4 linked regions of the Arabidopsis thaliana genome follow. The protein of the gene in region 3 interacts with the protein of the main gene of each other region in a pairwise test. Each region holds a gene or a part of one and is shown on either strand. Other genes may lie near its edges.

Region 1 (3,318 bases), on a different chromosome or scaffold from region 3:
TTCCTTCCTTTCAAAGTTCCATATCCAGTTCCTTTTAGACTTCTTGGTGATGAAGCAAAAGGTTGGCTAGATACTACTTATTTGTCGCCTTCAGGTAACCTTAGGATTTCTAGGGGAAACAAGGTAAATGAGTTTCTTGATTCTCAAAAAGAAAATTAAAGCTTTATAGCATTTTTATCCATGAGGCTGTATATTTGTAGCGCAGGGAACAACGTTTGTTCTTCAGAAAGAAACCGTGCCTAGGCAGAAATTGTTAGCCACCATATCTCAAGACAAAGGAGTAGCTGAGGTAATGTGTCATGCCTTCAAGAAATCTGAAAACAATCGATAGTTTCGGTTTGAAATGGAACCAATGGATCGTTTAGTATAAACACAGGCTATCGATGAGTTTCTTGCGTCTAATTCTAATTCCGCGGAAGATAATTATGAGCTTTTAGAAGGAAGTTGGCAAATGATTTGGAGTTCACAGGTCACTTCTCTGATAACTTTAGCTTTTGTCTTGAACAAGCACTTATATTCGTTTGGATAAGCGATTTTTCGGGTTTTGTGTTTGCAGATGTATACAGATAGTTGGATTGAAAATGCAGCAAATGGTCTTATGGGAAGACAGGTAAACATTTTATTAGAATGTCTTAGGTAGTCTATTGTTGCTTCAGCTGGCTTCGTTTAGCGAAATCGAGTATCTTATTCAGATCATTGAGAAGGATGGGAGGATAAAGTTTGAAGTTAACATCATTCCGGCATTTAGATTCTCCATGAAAGGCAAATTCATGTAAGTCTCTGTCTTTTAGATTAGTCATTTTGCTAACTTTTTTGTGATCTTGTTTCTTGACTGGTCTCATGAATGATTTGCAGAAAATCAGAAAGCAGTACATATGACTTGAAGATGGACGACGCAGCAATTATAGGCGGTGCATTTGGATATCCGGTCGATATAACAAACAATATCGAGCTAAAAATTCTGTAAGATCTCTCTATCTTCTTCTTCTACTACTTTCACAAATCACAACATATAATAATGCATTTGAATTGCTAATACAGAGATGCTTACTTTAATGTTTGTAGGTACACAGATGAGAAGATGAGGATAAGCCGAGGATTCGATAACATTATCTTTGTGCACATCCGAGAAATTTAGCTGCATTGTTCTATCAGAACCTCTTATTTGAACATATGAAAAAAAATAGTATGTAAGAAACTGTCAAATGTTTTACAACAATGGAAGGTGATAGTTTAAATTTTCTCTGTTCATTAGTTTTTTTGGATGTAACAGGAACCAGAAAAAACAAGAAACCACATGATATAATTTTCGCTACTAATGTCTAAATTAAGACAAAATTAACATTAAGAAAACTTTACTTTTTGTCTTAATCTTAAACAAATTCACTGAATATTTCTTTCTACAAAGAAAATACGAATATCTCACTAACAAAGGAAACTTACCACTAACAGCTTCTGGTGGCATTAATTACTCTGTAAATTGCCATTTTTTCACCGAGAGAAAACTAGAAAAACAAAACAAAACATGGAAACTGTAACATTCTAAAAGATTCATTGTTAACAAAACCAACAGAGAAACATAATACTGATTTTCCAGGATTTACTCCCTCAAATCTCTCCTTCAAATACTCTTCCTAATCTCTTCTGTTTTCATTTTGCTTGTTCCCTGCGAACATCTCTCTCTCTTCCTCTGTTTCTTGTTTTTTTGTCCTTTTCTTGATTTTTGTATTTTTTTGTTATGGATATGGACGAGATGAGCAATGTAGCCAAGACAACGACAGAGACTTCAGGCTTAACTGACTCTGTCTTGAGCCTCACGAAACGCATGAAACCTACTGAGGTTACGACCACCACAAAACCTGCCTTGTCCAACACGACGAAATTCAAAGGAGTTGTTCAGCAACAGAACGGTCATTGGGGTGCTCAGATTTACGCAGACCATCGAAGGATTTGGCTTGGAACTTTCAAATCCGCTCATGAAGCCGCTGCTGCTTACGATAGCGCATCGATTAAGCTTCGAAGCTTTGATGCTAACTCGCACCGGAACTTCCCTTGGTCTGATTTTACCCTCCATGAACCGGACTTTCAAGAGTGCTACACGACAGAAGCTGTGTTGAACATGATCAGAGACGGTTCTTATCAACACAAGTTCAGAGATTTTCTCAGAATCCGGTCTCAGATTGTTGCGAATATCAACATCGTGGGATCAAAACAAGTCTTAGGAGGAGGAGAAGGTGGTCAAGAATCGAACAAGTGTTTCTCGTGCACGCAGCTTTTTCAGAAAGAACTGACACCGAGCGATGTAGGGAAACTGAATAGGCTTGTGATACCTAAGAAGTATGCAGTGAAGTATATGCCTTTCATAAGCGATGATCAAAGCGAGAAAGAGACGAGTGAAGGAGTAGAAGATGTGGAGGTTGTCTTTTACGACAGAGCAATGAGACAATGGAAGTTTAGGTATTGTTACTGGAGAAGTAGCCAGAGCTTTGTCTTCACCAGAGGATGGAATGGTTTCGTGAAGGAGAAGAATCTCAAGGAGAAAGATATTATTGTCTTTTACACTTGCGATGTCCCCAACAATGTGAAGACATTAGAAGGCCAAAGCAAGACCTTCTTGATGATTGATGTTCATCACTTTTCAGGCAACGGTTTCGTGGTTCCCGAGGAAGTAAACAAGACGGTTCATGAGATTTCTGATGAAGAGATGAAAACAGAAACCCTCTTTACCTCGAAGGTAGAAGAAGAAACCAAATCAGAGGAGAAGAAAGGAGGGTTTATGCTGTTTGGTGTTAGGATCCAATAGCTAGCTACTTGGTTCTTAGGTTTTTTATATTATAACTTAATTAGAGTATGGTTTTTATTTGCTTTTGTATTACATAGTTTTTTTATTTACAAACTCGATGCTTCGATTTTGATATCTAACATTAATTAGATAAATTGTCTCTCTTGAGTAGATCAAAAAAAAAAGAAGAAGAAAAACCAAAAGAGGCTTTAAATTCTTCTTCTTTTAAGAGTTAAGACAAAAGCCACTTAACTGCTACAAACTACAACGAACTAAACAATCCTAACAAAGACATTTAGTTAATGTCACAAAATGAAATAGATACAACTCACTTCTCTCTCTATACACTCCTTAAGAAGAGGTGAGTCTCCGCTTACATCTCCTTCGAGTCCCATCGCCCTCTTTGTCAGGAGTATCTTCTACAACAGTTTCTTCTTGTACAACCAACCCTCGGTTTCTCGATAGTTTTCTTATTGGTGTTGTCTGAGTATCTTGTGTGAAGTCTGCTGATGCAGGGGCTGATGCAGCGGGACAAG
Region 2 (3,445 bases), on a different chromosome or scaffold from region 3:
GGAGTACTGTCCAATTGATCCTGAATCCTCTTAATCTCATTAAGCAATTTTTCTTTTTTCTGTTGGACATTACCAAAAACTTCTTTATTCCATCTCTTTAGAGTACCTCGCAGTTTAAACAGAGCAACTTAGAGTACCATGCTCTTAGGTGTTCCGTCATGTAGTTCATATTATATCAATTTTAAATTAAAAATTGATTTTACTATTTTCATATTTGGTTTTCTTATACCAAAGCAAATTGATTATAGATGTTTTTAAGATAAATTATCAATTATAAATTTTTTAATTAAAAATTACTTTATTTGTAACTAAATTTTCTTTCAACATCTACATTTTACAAAATAATCGTATATACTGTCAATCAAATTGCTGTTTTATTTTTCTGGTCAACGATCAACAACCCAAACTTTTTATAGCTATATACGGATATACCGAGTTACTGACAAGCGACAACTATAATATCTACGTAACGGTTGCATGACTAGTAGTGACTAAAATACAAACTTAGCCAATTTTCTTTTGAAACTCTGTTTTATAACATTGTTTATACGATAGAAAATACAAAGACTTATAGAAGATCAAGAATCTGTTTACATGCAAAGAGAAGTAACTTCTTTTGCGACATTGCAATAAATCATTACAATTAAATTTACCATATACATGACAAGATCTCTCATCTTGAATCTTGATCTTGTGGATTTTAACAAAATCCACTTTATTTATCGGGTTTCTTTTGTTCTCTGCTTTGATTTCCCAAATTTAATCGACCAACTCTGAGATCCAATCAAAGTGTGACAAATCCAAATCCAAATCGGACGGCTCATAATGATCATCCACAATGCTCATCCGACTCCAACACTTCAACAACACCTTCTCCTCGTTACTATCTAAATCATCTTTCCCGCTTCTCACCGGAGACCGTGACGTGTCGTAACCCTCGTCGTCCATTCTCATCGTCACTCCATCGCCGTTTCCACCACCTCTAGCCCTCACCGGCCTATATGCGTACCTGCACCTGTGCTTTCCTTCAGACTGCCTTAGCTGCTCCGGCGCGTGGGCAAAGAAACACACTTTCCTCTGACACAAGTTCCCGGCGTTACATGCGCGTGTTCGGTAACGCGCCGGGTGGAGCCAGTACTCGAATACGCCATGTGCGAATTCGCATGAGTCGCCACGGTGGCATGCGCCATTTCGGAAAGCCGGGCATGCGACTGCACAGTAAGTGTAACGGCGAGGATCACGGCGTGTGGCTTTCTCGCCACGGTGAGCGTAGGGACACTCCGTCCAGTCGTGGCTACGAGTACGAGGACACCGTTTGATTTTGTAAGCGTACATACGGAACTCATCTGAGCCGTAGATCGCATCGTCGATGTTTGGGATCGAAGGGTCAATCTCGTAAGCTCCTGCGTTCCCAGGTTTGCTTAAAATGTACCCGAAAGTAGAGTATTGCTGCTCTCCGATATCGTAGAATGCCATTGGACTTGCACTTTTCAACATTTTTCCTTGCAATGATCTAAAGAGTTATTTTGGTTTAATAAATGTCTTTCTTTCGAAATTTAAGAAAGGAACAAAAAAAAAACTACAGAGATTTCATCTTAGGAAAATCTTAAGTAATTTAGGAAACTGAAAGGGGAATTTATAGGAAGAAAAACGAAATAAAAAGTCGAATATTTAATAATTTTACCTTTTGCAATGAAAAATGCCAAAACTATATTTTAAAGTTTAAACGTTACAGTTATTTTTTGTTGCATGCACTTATATACTGTGGATACATAATATCTTAACGGCAACGGAAGATGGTGAAAGATAAACTAATATGATTTGAAGATATATTTTTCCAGATGCAGCAGATCGTATGTAAAGTATATACAATTACAGTAATTTACAAAAATCGTCATCATGATCAACGTTTTAGAATATTTCAATATTTGATTATGGTGTTAAATGGTGTTTGATTCGTGAGAGGTAAAGTTAACAGACGTTAATAAGGGCAGCGTTTACGTGAAGGAAGAAGAGTGAAAAACATTTGGAAACACACGAGTGGTAAAAATTGCATGAGAAGGCACACGTGTAAGTGATAATCAGAAGAACTTAAAAATAATAAAGAGGAGAGGAGCACCATCTGGCACACGTGTCGAGAGGAATCCTTTAAATCCTCGACAGCCGTTTCTCTTTTGCAATCTTGGTAGGTTGGTGAGAGCATTGCTAAATCCAAAGACAATAGAAATAGTTTGCAAATGTCATTTCCATAATTTATATTTTAGTCGTAATAAATTTGATCGAAGTAGGAAATGATTATACAGCATACTATTATCACCATAAAAAGCTTATTTATCACTTTTTTATTTAGATCCGAAAAGTTTTGCGTTAAATACATTTTTTCGGAGCGAAAATCAGGCATAAATAAAGTTTTTTCTGTGCACTTGATATTCGTATCGTTTTTTCTTTATGTCCGAAAAGTTTTGCGTTAAATACATTTTCTCGGACCGAAGATAAGACAAAAACAAAACTTTTTCCTCGCATCTACTATTCAAATCGCTTTTTTGTTATATCCGAAAATTGTTACGTTAAATACATCTTTTTAAATTGAGAATCGTACGAAAATAAAGTTTTTTCATCATTTCATATCCGAATCTACTTTTTTTAAAATATGGTTTTAGATTCTAACTGTTTTAGCTATGAATTTTAGATAAAAAAATAATTTCTTTCTAATTTGTAGCTAAAACAGTTGAATCTAAAATCATGTTATAGAAAAATTGGATTCGGATATAATTGTTTTCTTTTTGTTTAGAGCCTTTACACACTAGATTAATGTCTTTATTTTTGGCAGATCTATAAAGTGACGGTTTTTAATCAGAATTTATGCCAGTTTACAAGGTTTTTTTTGGAAAGACGCGTATTCTTTTCTGAAAAGAAAAGAAGCAATTGCATGCACAAATGGTAACGTTTAAACTTTTTTCCCTAGTCTTTTTTAAACATCAAACCGCTGTCCTCCAAGTTGTAGCAGATTAATCAAAAAGAAAGGCGTCAATACAGAGTGAAAGTAGTTCTTGTGGATCTTGAAGATAATGTGAAGAACTAAATATAAAAGTTTAACCAAAGAAACACATCTCCTGATCAACTAACATGCGCAATCAAAATAGAAAGAAAAAAAAGAATAATTCGTTTTGAAAGTTTATCTCGTAAATATTTATCAAACAAAAAGGTGATTAATAAAAACCTTTCATCACTTTCCTTGAAGCTTGTATCCTCCGATTGCGTTTATTAGCCTCGCGTTTTAGTTTATTTTTTGAATGTCCGACCTCTGTGGCGGCTCCTAAGAATCCGGTCTGAGTTCCGTCGCTGTCATTGTCAATGTCTCCTTCGATCGTTAATCCTTCAATCCTAGCCGCAATGGAGTCCCCTTTCACCCCAACATCTACATCTATACGTAAAAAAATGTGCA
Region 3 (4,805 bases):
TTGTTCAGTTTTATTATGTGTAATGAAGAAAGCGGCTTTTAGAAATAATAAGGAAATAACTGCAACCATGGCAGAGGAAAACCAGAGCTTTGGGAGAAGACGAAGAAGATGGGATCCATCTACATGCGAACAACTCTACACCTCTTGAATTTCTCACGTATTCCTGTCACCAATTCATACACATATTTGTTTATTCAAAGATCTAATCAATCATCTCAACACCTCTTGACATCTTCACTCTCCTGTTAAACTATTACTACTACATCTAAAATCTCTAAGCAGAGAGAGGGAGAGAGAGAGAGAACCTCGTGGTATTGGAATTCCGACGACTTCATGACCGGAGCTAGATCTTGAGAGAGAGACACTGAAGGTGACGAAGGGGTTTTGAGGACGGTCTCACCAATTTATAGAAACAAGAGTGTCACTGTTCTTTTTTTCAATTCACTTTTTTCCAAATTATGGAAAGCTCAGAAAATGTTTTCGGAATTTTATTTATTTGACGTCACACTGGGCGCGTGTGAATTAGTAGAGAGACCCATCCATTGGTCAGACATATCGACAAAAGAGGTATGTAACCTAAACCTACTCTCCTCATTAAGTCAATAAAACACATTAATACTAAATACATATAATCCTCAAAAGTCAACATAACAAATCCATAAGGAATGAGAAAACAACTCTACCCCAAGAGAAAAAAAAAGTACGAATGAAAGAAGAAGATCATTTCACGTACGTATGATCCCAACGTTTGGTAATACCGCTTCTAAACGCGCATTGCAAAACGCTAACCCTCTCTTGGATGATTGTTTCCTTTACACCCTCTATCACTTTCTCTTCTTCATCCATTATCGATTCCAAGTCGTCTAGAAACTTCAACTTGCTCTGCAGTTTCTTCAGCTGAGTACAACAAAGAGAAGCAAAACATGTCCGGTTCAAGACACAAACACAGTGGAACAGACACAAATGTTTTAATGTTGTTACAAGTTACAACCAACCTGTTGTTCTATTACTGTCGCAGCTAACTGTTCCATTTCTCTTTCTTCTTGATCAGCCAGTATTTTCGCTTGTGCAGCCGCAGCTCCTAGAGCTGTTGCCACAGACGCTCTTATCCTTAACGCTACAGGTAGACCCTGAGGCCCGTCTGCAAATATATAACGATTCCAAATCTTAAGCCTTGAGCTTTCATTATAAACCTAGGAATGCAGATTGAATCACAACACAATTTACCTTTCTCTTCTTGCTGTTCCTCCATATCTGTATCTTTCTCTCCATTGGCTCTGTGAGCAAAGTTTTGTATCTTGAGATTAGTGTAGGACATGAGAAGCCAAACCACAAGCAAATTGAGGGCTTAGAGAATCGAACCTATCAACTGTGAAATTGCTGTAGTCATCAGTGTCAAAAATCTCTTTTGGACATGAGGCTTCATCACAAAGAGCTGCAAGTGCAGCTTTTGCAGCAGCAGTTGCGACAGATGGACCAACTTTACTTGCCATGGCAGCGACCTGTTGTGCAATATGTAAACATGTTATCTCTTGAACATTCTTTTCCAGTGGAGTTAAAAAGGGCATTCTTTGCGACGGTTAAAGGTCAGAGAAGAACCCGAATGTTACACTCATATGGAAAATAATGAACACAAGGCATATAGTTTAACCAAACATTCACCTGTTTCATAAGTGAACTATCACCCTCTGATATCAGTGCAACACGTTTCCTTTTTGCTGGAGGCTCATCTTCATTCACGCGATCTTCTTTTTCTTCCCTTGTCTCTGTTTCCTCATGTTCCTGCCCATCAGTTTGCACCTGTTCCGTGTTTTCATCCTCGGTGAGGATAGAGGGATTGAGTCTTCCAGAAGCAGAACCCATCAGAAACTCTCCAAACGGGAGCTCAATGAGTTTAGAAATGCAATCTAGTCTACTCTTGGTAGAAACACTTTGTGAAATGAGTTCCCAATCATCTCCATGTTTCAGCACAGATTCTAGCAAGAGGAGGATCTCTTCCTCTGTCCACACAGCTGCAGCTGAATTCCCAATCAACTTAAAATCATCTGCAGTGTTGTTCTCCCCATAGTTTCCATTCTTGAAACACTTTTCGCATATGTTGACTATACCCTGCCAACATCATATGTCAAAAAAAAAAGAAGCATAAACAAAACAGACTAGAGAGTATGAAATATGCTAATCGAAAAAAAGCAAAAAAAAACTACCTTGTTATGTTGATAGAAAGGAGAATCGCAACGTTCTCCACAATGCGCACAAACCAATACATGATCCGGCTTCTTCAAATCACTGAAAACATCTGAATAAGAGGTAAGCGGTGGTACTTTGATGCCAGTCTCAACTCTTTCCTCAACAAGGGGCGGTGCGGTTATAGGCCTAAGAGAATTAGGGGTTGCAGTAACTCGAATTCCAGCAGGAGTCCCTTGTTCTATTTTAGCATTATCCACGGACAATAGATGGTCATTTTTCTTCAGGGAAGAGCTAAAATTGATCAATCCCCATTTTTCGAGGAAGAGAAAAACTTTCTGGAGCAAATTGACATCGCCAACAAGAAACTTGCGGACACTGGTGAAGGTGAGTCTCCGACAAGTGTCCTCTCTAAACTTATTGATAATGAAATCTCGGTACTCCTTGTAAACTTTGGGGGTTCTAGTGATTGAGCTCTCAGTGAAGAACTCCGCAAACTCGCGTCTTTCAATTTCGTGTATATCATCCCATAAGAACCAACCTTGTAAAGAACAAGACAAATCCCCAAATCAATTGCAAAGAAAACAAACCATAGAAAGCAGAAACCTAAGAGACGGAAACAGTTGAGCGAGTAAAAAGAGTAGAAGAAGAAACCCTAGAGATCTAAAAGCATGGCGAGGGTAAGAGAAGACATACTGGATTGAGCAGGAATGGTGTAGAGCTCGATCTCTGCGCTTGGATCAGTGGCTTCCATGCCCGTTACCGATTCCCTCCAATATCAAAAACCTCTGATGAATCTATTGCCAATCGCCAAATCCAAACCACACGGAGAATAATTAGTTAAGGGTCAAAAGCGAAAACTTGCCCGAAGCTGGGTCAATTATAATAAAACTCAATTTAAAATCTGGGCCCAATCTTTATTTTATCAGCCCACTTTGTTATCTAGTTATCAGCCCACTTGTTGTTAACTTTATTTCGTCAAGCCCACTTATTACTATTAACTTTTTGGTCTTCAGCTACAAATTTTAATGAACTTATATAACTCTAGTTGTTAGGGATATGGTTGCTCCAACATCGAACCATAAAGACCAAAAATTACGCACATCATTATGAGATGAACTGTAAAAGAATTTGAGAATTAAACTTATAACTCTTTCCAGAATGCAATAAGCATTTGGCTAAAATTTCACACTGTCAAGTTTTAAGTGGTTGAGAGACCAAAGAGGATCCAGCAGCTTGAATAACATTGAAACTGTCCCAAGAAATTGCAAAACATCCATAATAAAGGGTTCAACTAAAAAAGAGGTACTTCAAGAACCAGCTAAACAAAAAGCTCTATTAAGTTTTACGAATCCGAGCAAACCACAAACAAAAGAAGCTAGCCTCTTAATTCATCCTTTGGGCAGCCTCCTTTGCAATAACTCTTTCCTTTGCCTTGGTCTTTGCCTGAGACTTAGATCCCATTATGCCTCCTCCCCATTTCTTCCTGTACTCCTCGTACTTGTCATTGAAGTTGGCCTATAGACAAAAACCCAAAAACACAATCATAAGAATCTCCAACAATATGTTTCACACAATCTACCATTCTATTGGTCACAAGAAGTATTTACCTTGATAGCTTCCAGGATTTTGCTGAACTCTAGCTTGTCCTCGTTCTTGACAGTGGTCAAACACAAGCAAGAAGCAGTCTTCTGGTGAACAACCTGAAAGTCAGAGAAAGAAATAAAGATTAACTCTCCATGCTAGTGGCTATAAACTAGAGAGAAATCACCCACAACACATACCGCTCCAAGACGAGATTTGCCCTTGACAATGCAGTACGGGACTTCCATCTTCCTGCACAGAGCAGGCAACCAGACAACCAACTCAATTGGGTCGACATCATGAGCAATAACAACAAGTTGGGCCTTGTTCTGCTCAATGAGGTAGGTCACATGGTTGAGGCCGTATTTGACTACAATGGGCTTCTTAGACTCAGAAGGCTTTCCCTCAGCTTCAGCTTGGGCCTTCTTTACAAGACGCTCCTTCTTGGCAGCTTTGTCTTCTGGCCTGTACTTCAGAAGGACCTTGAAGAGGCTGGTAGCTGCAATTATCAATAACGAATATAAATAAGGCACCGAAGTCTTCTTATAAGGTTACAGCAACACAAGATTTACCAGAACTGGTAAATATTTCAATAATAAATTAACAGCAGCAAGTAGTAAATGTTTGAAGAGTAGATTGAGAATGAAATAGACATACCAAGATTCTTGTCAAGAGTCTTGGTGAATTGGTTAAGAGCTGGAGGGACCTTCAACCTCTGCTTCAGGATCCTCTTTTGCCTTTGAAGACGGATGGATTTGGGCCATTTGATGTAGCGAGAGAGATCCTTCTTAGGAGGTAAAGCTCCACCAATACCGAATTGCTTAGGCCTCCTCTCGAATAGAGGGTTTGAAACTTTCTCCTGGAGAAATCAGAAATCAAAACACAAAACTTCAGCAAGAAAGAAAAAAACAACAACAAAGAACAAATTGAATGTTCGAAAACCTAAAAAAGAAGAAGAGAATTGGAAATGAAACATACCGCGGTCTTCTTCTTAGCAGCTACCTTCACTCCTTTCTTCGGGGCCTAAAACCAAATCG
Region 4 (4,229 bases), on a different chromosome or scaffold from region 3:
TTGTATTTCCTTAAATAAAATAACAGAAAGAGAATATTAATTTGAGTTAAACAGCTTCCACAAGTAGTACAACTGTCTGTACAAGCAAGACTCAAGTTTGAAGGAAAGTGGGATTTTTTTTTGTTACTTTATATATTGTTTTAATTTGTCTTAATTAGTTTAGGAACAATAATAAAGACTATATTAGGCAACATGCACGTACGTTTGTGTGTTTTCGAGATCCCAATGGTAGCAACTGGCAAGTAGCAACATACTAAAATAAATAGCATTGTTTAATTATGCGTACAAACGAAATTGGCTACATTTTTAGTTGCTTCACCACCTATACTTGATCATGGATTAGCTCGATTACTTGGCTGCAGGATGTGATATTTGATATTATTGTAAAGTGATTTAAGAGTAACAATAATCGATTGCGTCTAAGATTCAGTTGACAAACTAAATTGTTTTACGTTCCAACTCACATCACTTTGATAACCTGTAAATCATGATTTATCTTTTCACATCTGCGTTTTCATAAGAAAGTTTGAAATGTATAAAAGATGCATGTAAACCAGTAAATGATGATAATGACATATTTAGTTTAGAAAACTATATGTAGTGATGTTAATATGGGCTAACCCACCCCAATTAAACCCATCCCATTTAAACCCACTCCATTTAACTTTAAACTCATATAAATCCATTTATTTTTGAAACCCATTTAACCCTACCCATTTAAATTTAGTAAATCCATGTGAACCCATTTAAACCAATTAAGTGAGATATTGCCTTTTATTAATTAATTCATAAACTTAATAGATAAATAACAACAGTCCATAAACATTAGCTAAATCTGAAATATTTATAATTTACTAAAATATAGATTTCAATAACATATAATGATAATAATATTTTCAAATTTGGCAAAAAATATTTTTTTTTGTGATTTTGGCGGGAAAACTTGATTTTACGGTTTTACGGGAAAATGTCGTTTACGGTTTTGGCGGAAATACGTGATTTTACGGTTTTGGCGGAAAACACTTTTTGTGATTTTGGCGGGAAAACGTGATTTTACGGTTTTGGCGGGAAAACGTGATTTTACGATTTTGGCGGGAAAACGTGATTTTACGATTTTGGCGGGTAAACGTGATTTTACGGGTTTGGCGAAAATACGTGATTTTCAATTTTGGTGGGAAAACGTCATTTTACAGTTTTGGCGGGAAAACGTGATTTTACGATTTTGGCGGAAAAACGTCGGTTTACGATTTTGGTGGGAAAATGTGATTTTCGATTTTGGTAAAAAACGTGATTTTGGTGGGAAAACGTAATTTTATGGGTTTTAGCGGAAAAACGTGATTTTACGTTTTGTTTTAAATATATTTAGTATTTTGCTCTTTATTTTAGTTATAATTAAGTTATCTACTTTTTAATAAAAATAACTAATATAAAATAAAACATAAATGGGTACCCATTTGTTTGTGGGTAAACCCATTTATTAAATAGGTTTAATTGGGGTAACCCATTTAACCCCATTTGATATTTTTCTCTAAATGGGTTTAAATGGGTTATTTTTTTTTGCACATACCCATTTAACAAATGGCTATTCAATGCCCAAGTTAACATCACTAACTATATGCTTATTTCTACTAGCTCTTCACCAAGACCATCGTGGAAACTTTGATCGACAGAAAAAACACCTCAGCTCTTTTTTCAAATATTTCAGCGACATTTTAGTAGTTATGAGGAAACAGTAGTAGTTAGGCATGGACTAACATATCAATTGGCGAGACAGCAAAAAGACAATTAGACAAGACACGGCACGAAACATACATTATAGACATAGAGTCTACGACCTAACACGTTTGCGATGCTCTCTCTTATTACCTAACAATTCGCCTGCTTACCTATTTCCTTAATTACATCCCACCATTTTTCACTTCCAAACTTCAATTTGTTACGGCGTAACGTAAATGATCTTGTTACTGGAATACACAAAACGTATAAATTTTCTTAATATTCTGATAACATTTCTTTCTTTCCAATTATGACTTTTAAAAACCACTACCAAAACTAATACAACCTCATATTTACTGTCTTTCCTAGAATACACAAAAATACACGTTATAAGATTTCCTATAATGACATGAACTGATGAGATTCTAGCCCTAATCGTTATTATCAATCAGTCTATGAGTTTAATAATGTAATCTTATCATCATTACCCGTAGAAACGCATTAAAAGAAGCTTGAAATTGACTATAACTAGTAGTAGCCTAGTTAGTAGGACTCTCAATTTATGATTAAACCGGTTTTCGATAACCGTTTTCGATAACCGGTTTTTCAGAAATGAGTGTGATTGATTCGGTTAGCAGAGGAAAAAGAGAGAGGTAGGAGAAAGAAGATAATCGCCGTTGCTGACGTCACCGCCGGTAATCAAAAATCTCTCCTTTAACCGTAATTTCTCTTTTAACTTTACCAAAAATCCGATCCAACAGAAATTCTTATCCTAAGCCTCTTTCTCCACCGCGCACGTTAGCCTCCTCTCTTTCCCACTCCGAGATGGAGACGACGCCGGAGACTCAGTCGAAGACTCACCGTCTACCGGCGGGAAGAGAGGATTGGTGGAGCGAAGACGCTACGGCGACATTGATCGAAGCTTGGGGAGATCGTTACGTCAATCTCAACCGGGGAAATCTCCGGCAAAACGATTGGAAAGAAGTCGCCGACGCCGTCAATTCAAGCCACGGGAATGGCCGGCCAAAGACCGATGTACAGTGCAAAAACCGGATCGATACGTTGAAGAAGAAGTACAAAACTGAAAAGGCGAAACCTTTATCGAATTGGTGCTTCTTTGATAGACTCGATTTCTTAATCGGTCCGGTTATGAAGAAATCGTCCGGTGCTGTTGTTAAATCGGCGTTGATGAACCCTAATTTGAATCCTACTGGATCTAAATCAACTGGTAGCTCTCTCGATGACGATGATGATGATGATGATGACGACGAAGAAGATGATGATGATGCGGGTGATTGGGGATTTGTGGTGAGGAAGCATCGTAAAGTTGAAGATGTAGATTCGAGTGAAGGATCAGCCTTTAGGGAGCTAGCGAGATCGATTCTGAAGTTAGGGGAAGCGTTTGAGAGAATCGAGGGGAAGAAGCAACAGATGATGATTGAATTGGAGAAACAGAGAATGGAAGTTGCAAAGGAGCTTGAGTTACAACGAATGAATATGTTGATGGAGATGCAATTGGAGCTTGAGAAATCTAAACTTGGGAAACGAAGAGCTGCTTCAGGTAAAGTTTTCATTTTTATGTGTGTTTTGTTGTGATTGATGAGTTTACTGAAACTTCAGTTGTGCTTTGTTTGTTGTATAGGTAAGAAGTTGTAGGATTGTAGATTGTGGAGGAGTTACTGATGTGAAGCAAGGAGCAATGGTTGGATCTAAAGCTCATACGATTTGGAGAAGATGTTATTATTATTGATCTTTAGGTTTTCTTAAGTTATAGCGCGATGCTTTTTTTCTTCTTCTTCTTTTTCATTCTCTTTTTTAGCATTGTAGAGTTACATTGGTAGTAGCAATGCGAATTACCAAAAGAACTCTCATAGTATCTGACATATCAAGATGTACTTTTGTGAAGTATCAATGTATGATGGTTTGTGTATCAGTGTCTGCAGTTCCAAATTGTGCTCATCTCTCTTTCTGTGATCTGCAATTACTCTTTTGCTTAGGCAGGTTTCAGGAATGTGTACAGACTTAACAAGATGCGTAGAACGGTTCTGAGGAGAACTCTTATCAGAGTCATTCATAATTCAGTTTGGAATTTGATCAAACCCACCAAGCTATTGATTTGGATGTTTGCTTATGTGACTTTGCTGCACTCTGGAATCTCCAGGACAAGACTCTTGTGGCCTGAGGGAGACGAGTTGACACATGAGGCTGTATTATTGGAGCCTCAAAAAAGAACATCATAGAAGCATATATATCAATGTTTCATGTTTGGTAGAATTTCGGGATGACATAAGCATGTGCTCTCCTATTCATACCTGACTTACAAAGAAGCTCTTCATCTAAAACACCTCACTTTACTCACCTTGGCCTACCACTTGGTCCAAAACTGGTAAGGACTCTGACCTTCCAAGGCTCATCTTGTACCTGAGTTATCTCATCGCATGTGATGGTTACTTTTGAAGTTAAAACCCTTTTTCATACATATGATGAAGTAAGCATCTGATTATGCATACTGG

Evidence for each region.
Region 1: the proteins of SWI3A (region 3) and AT1G51120 interact in a two-hybrid assay, tested with the Arabidopsis thaliana proteins (one large-scale study listed by BioGRID).
Region 2: the proteins of SWI3A (region 3) and PEI1 interact in a two-hybrid assay, tested with the Arabidopsis thaliana proteins (one large-scale study listed by BioGRID).
Region 4: the proteins of SWI3A (region 3) and AT3G11100 interact in a two-hybrid assay, tested with the Arabidopsis thaliana proteins (one large-scale study listed by BioGRID).

What each region holds. Positions count from the first base shown.
Region 1 is NC_003070.9:18,936,347-18,939,664, forward strand, and holds AT1G51120 (AP2/B3 transcription factor family protein), read left to right. Parts: upstream 1-1,744; coding exon 1,745-2,803; downstream 2,804-3,318. Other genes in the region: AT1G51110 (Plastid-lipid associated protein PAP / fibrillin family protein), read left to right, coding at 1-123, 206-289, 377-469, 557-610, 693-772, 856-963, 1,066-1,138; AT1G51130 (Nse4, component of Smc5/6 DNA repair complex), read right to left, coding at 3,134-3,318.
Region 2 is NC_003076.8:2,370,768-2,374,212, reverse strand, and holds PEI1 (Zinc finger C-x8-C-x5-C-x3-H type family protein), read right to left. Parts: upstream 1,595-3,445; 5' UTR 1,498-1,594; coding exon 760-1,497; 3' UTR 558-759; downstream 1-557. Other genes in the region: AT5G07490 (uncharacterized protein), read right to left, coding at 3,210-3,424. UniProt on the Arabidopsis thaliana protein: Embryo-specific transcription factor required at the globular to heart stage transition in embryo development.
Region 3 is NC_003071.7:19,530,167-19,534,971, reverse strand, and holds SWI3A (SWITCH/sucrose nonfermenting 3A), read right to left. Parts: upstream 3,026-4,805; 5' UTR 2,939-3,025; coding exon 2,881-2,938; intron 2,726-2,880; coding exon 2,205-2,725; intron 2,110-2,204; coding exon 1,663-2,109; intron 1,503-1,662; coding exon 1,363-1,502; coding exon of another isoform or gene 1,305-1,362; exon of another isoform or gene 1,278-1,304; coding exon 1,228-1,277; intron 1,142-1,227; coding exon 996-1,141; intron 898-995; coding exon 721-897; 3' UTR 501-720; downstream 1-500. Other genes in the region: AT2G47630 (alpha/beta-Hydrolases superfamily protein), read right to left, coding at 67-163, 306-335; AT2G47610 (Ribosomal protein L7Ae/L30e/S12e/Gadd45 family protein), read right to left, coding at 3,571-3,702, 3,795-3,887, 3,969-4,267, 4,426-4,627, 4,747-4,791. UniProt on the Arabidopsis thaliana protein: Component of a multiprotein complex equivalent of the SWI/SNF complex, an ATP-dependent chromatin-remodeling complex, which is required for the positive and negative regulation of gene expression of a large number of genes.
Region 4 is NC_003074.8:3,475,633-3,479,861, reverse strand, and holds AT3G11100 (sequence-specific DNA binding transcription factor), read left to right. Parts: upstream 1-1,961; 5' UTR 1,962-2,541; coding exon 2,542-3,277; intron 3,278-3,358; coding exon 3,359-3,372; 3' UTR 3,373-3,675; downstream 3,676-4,229.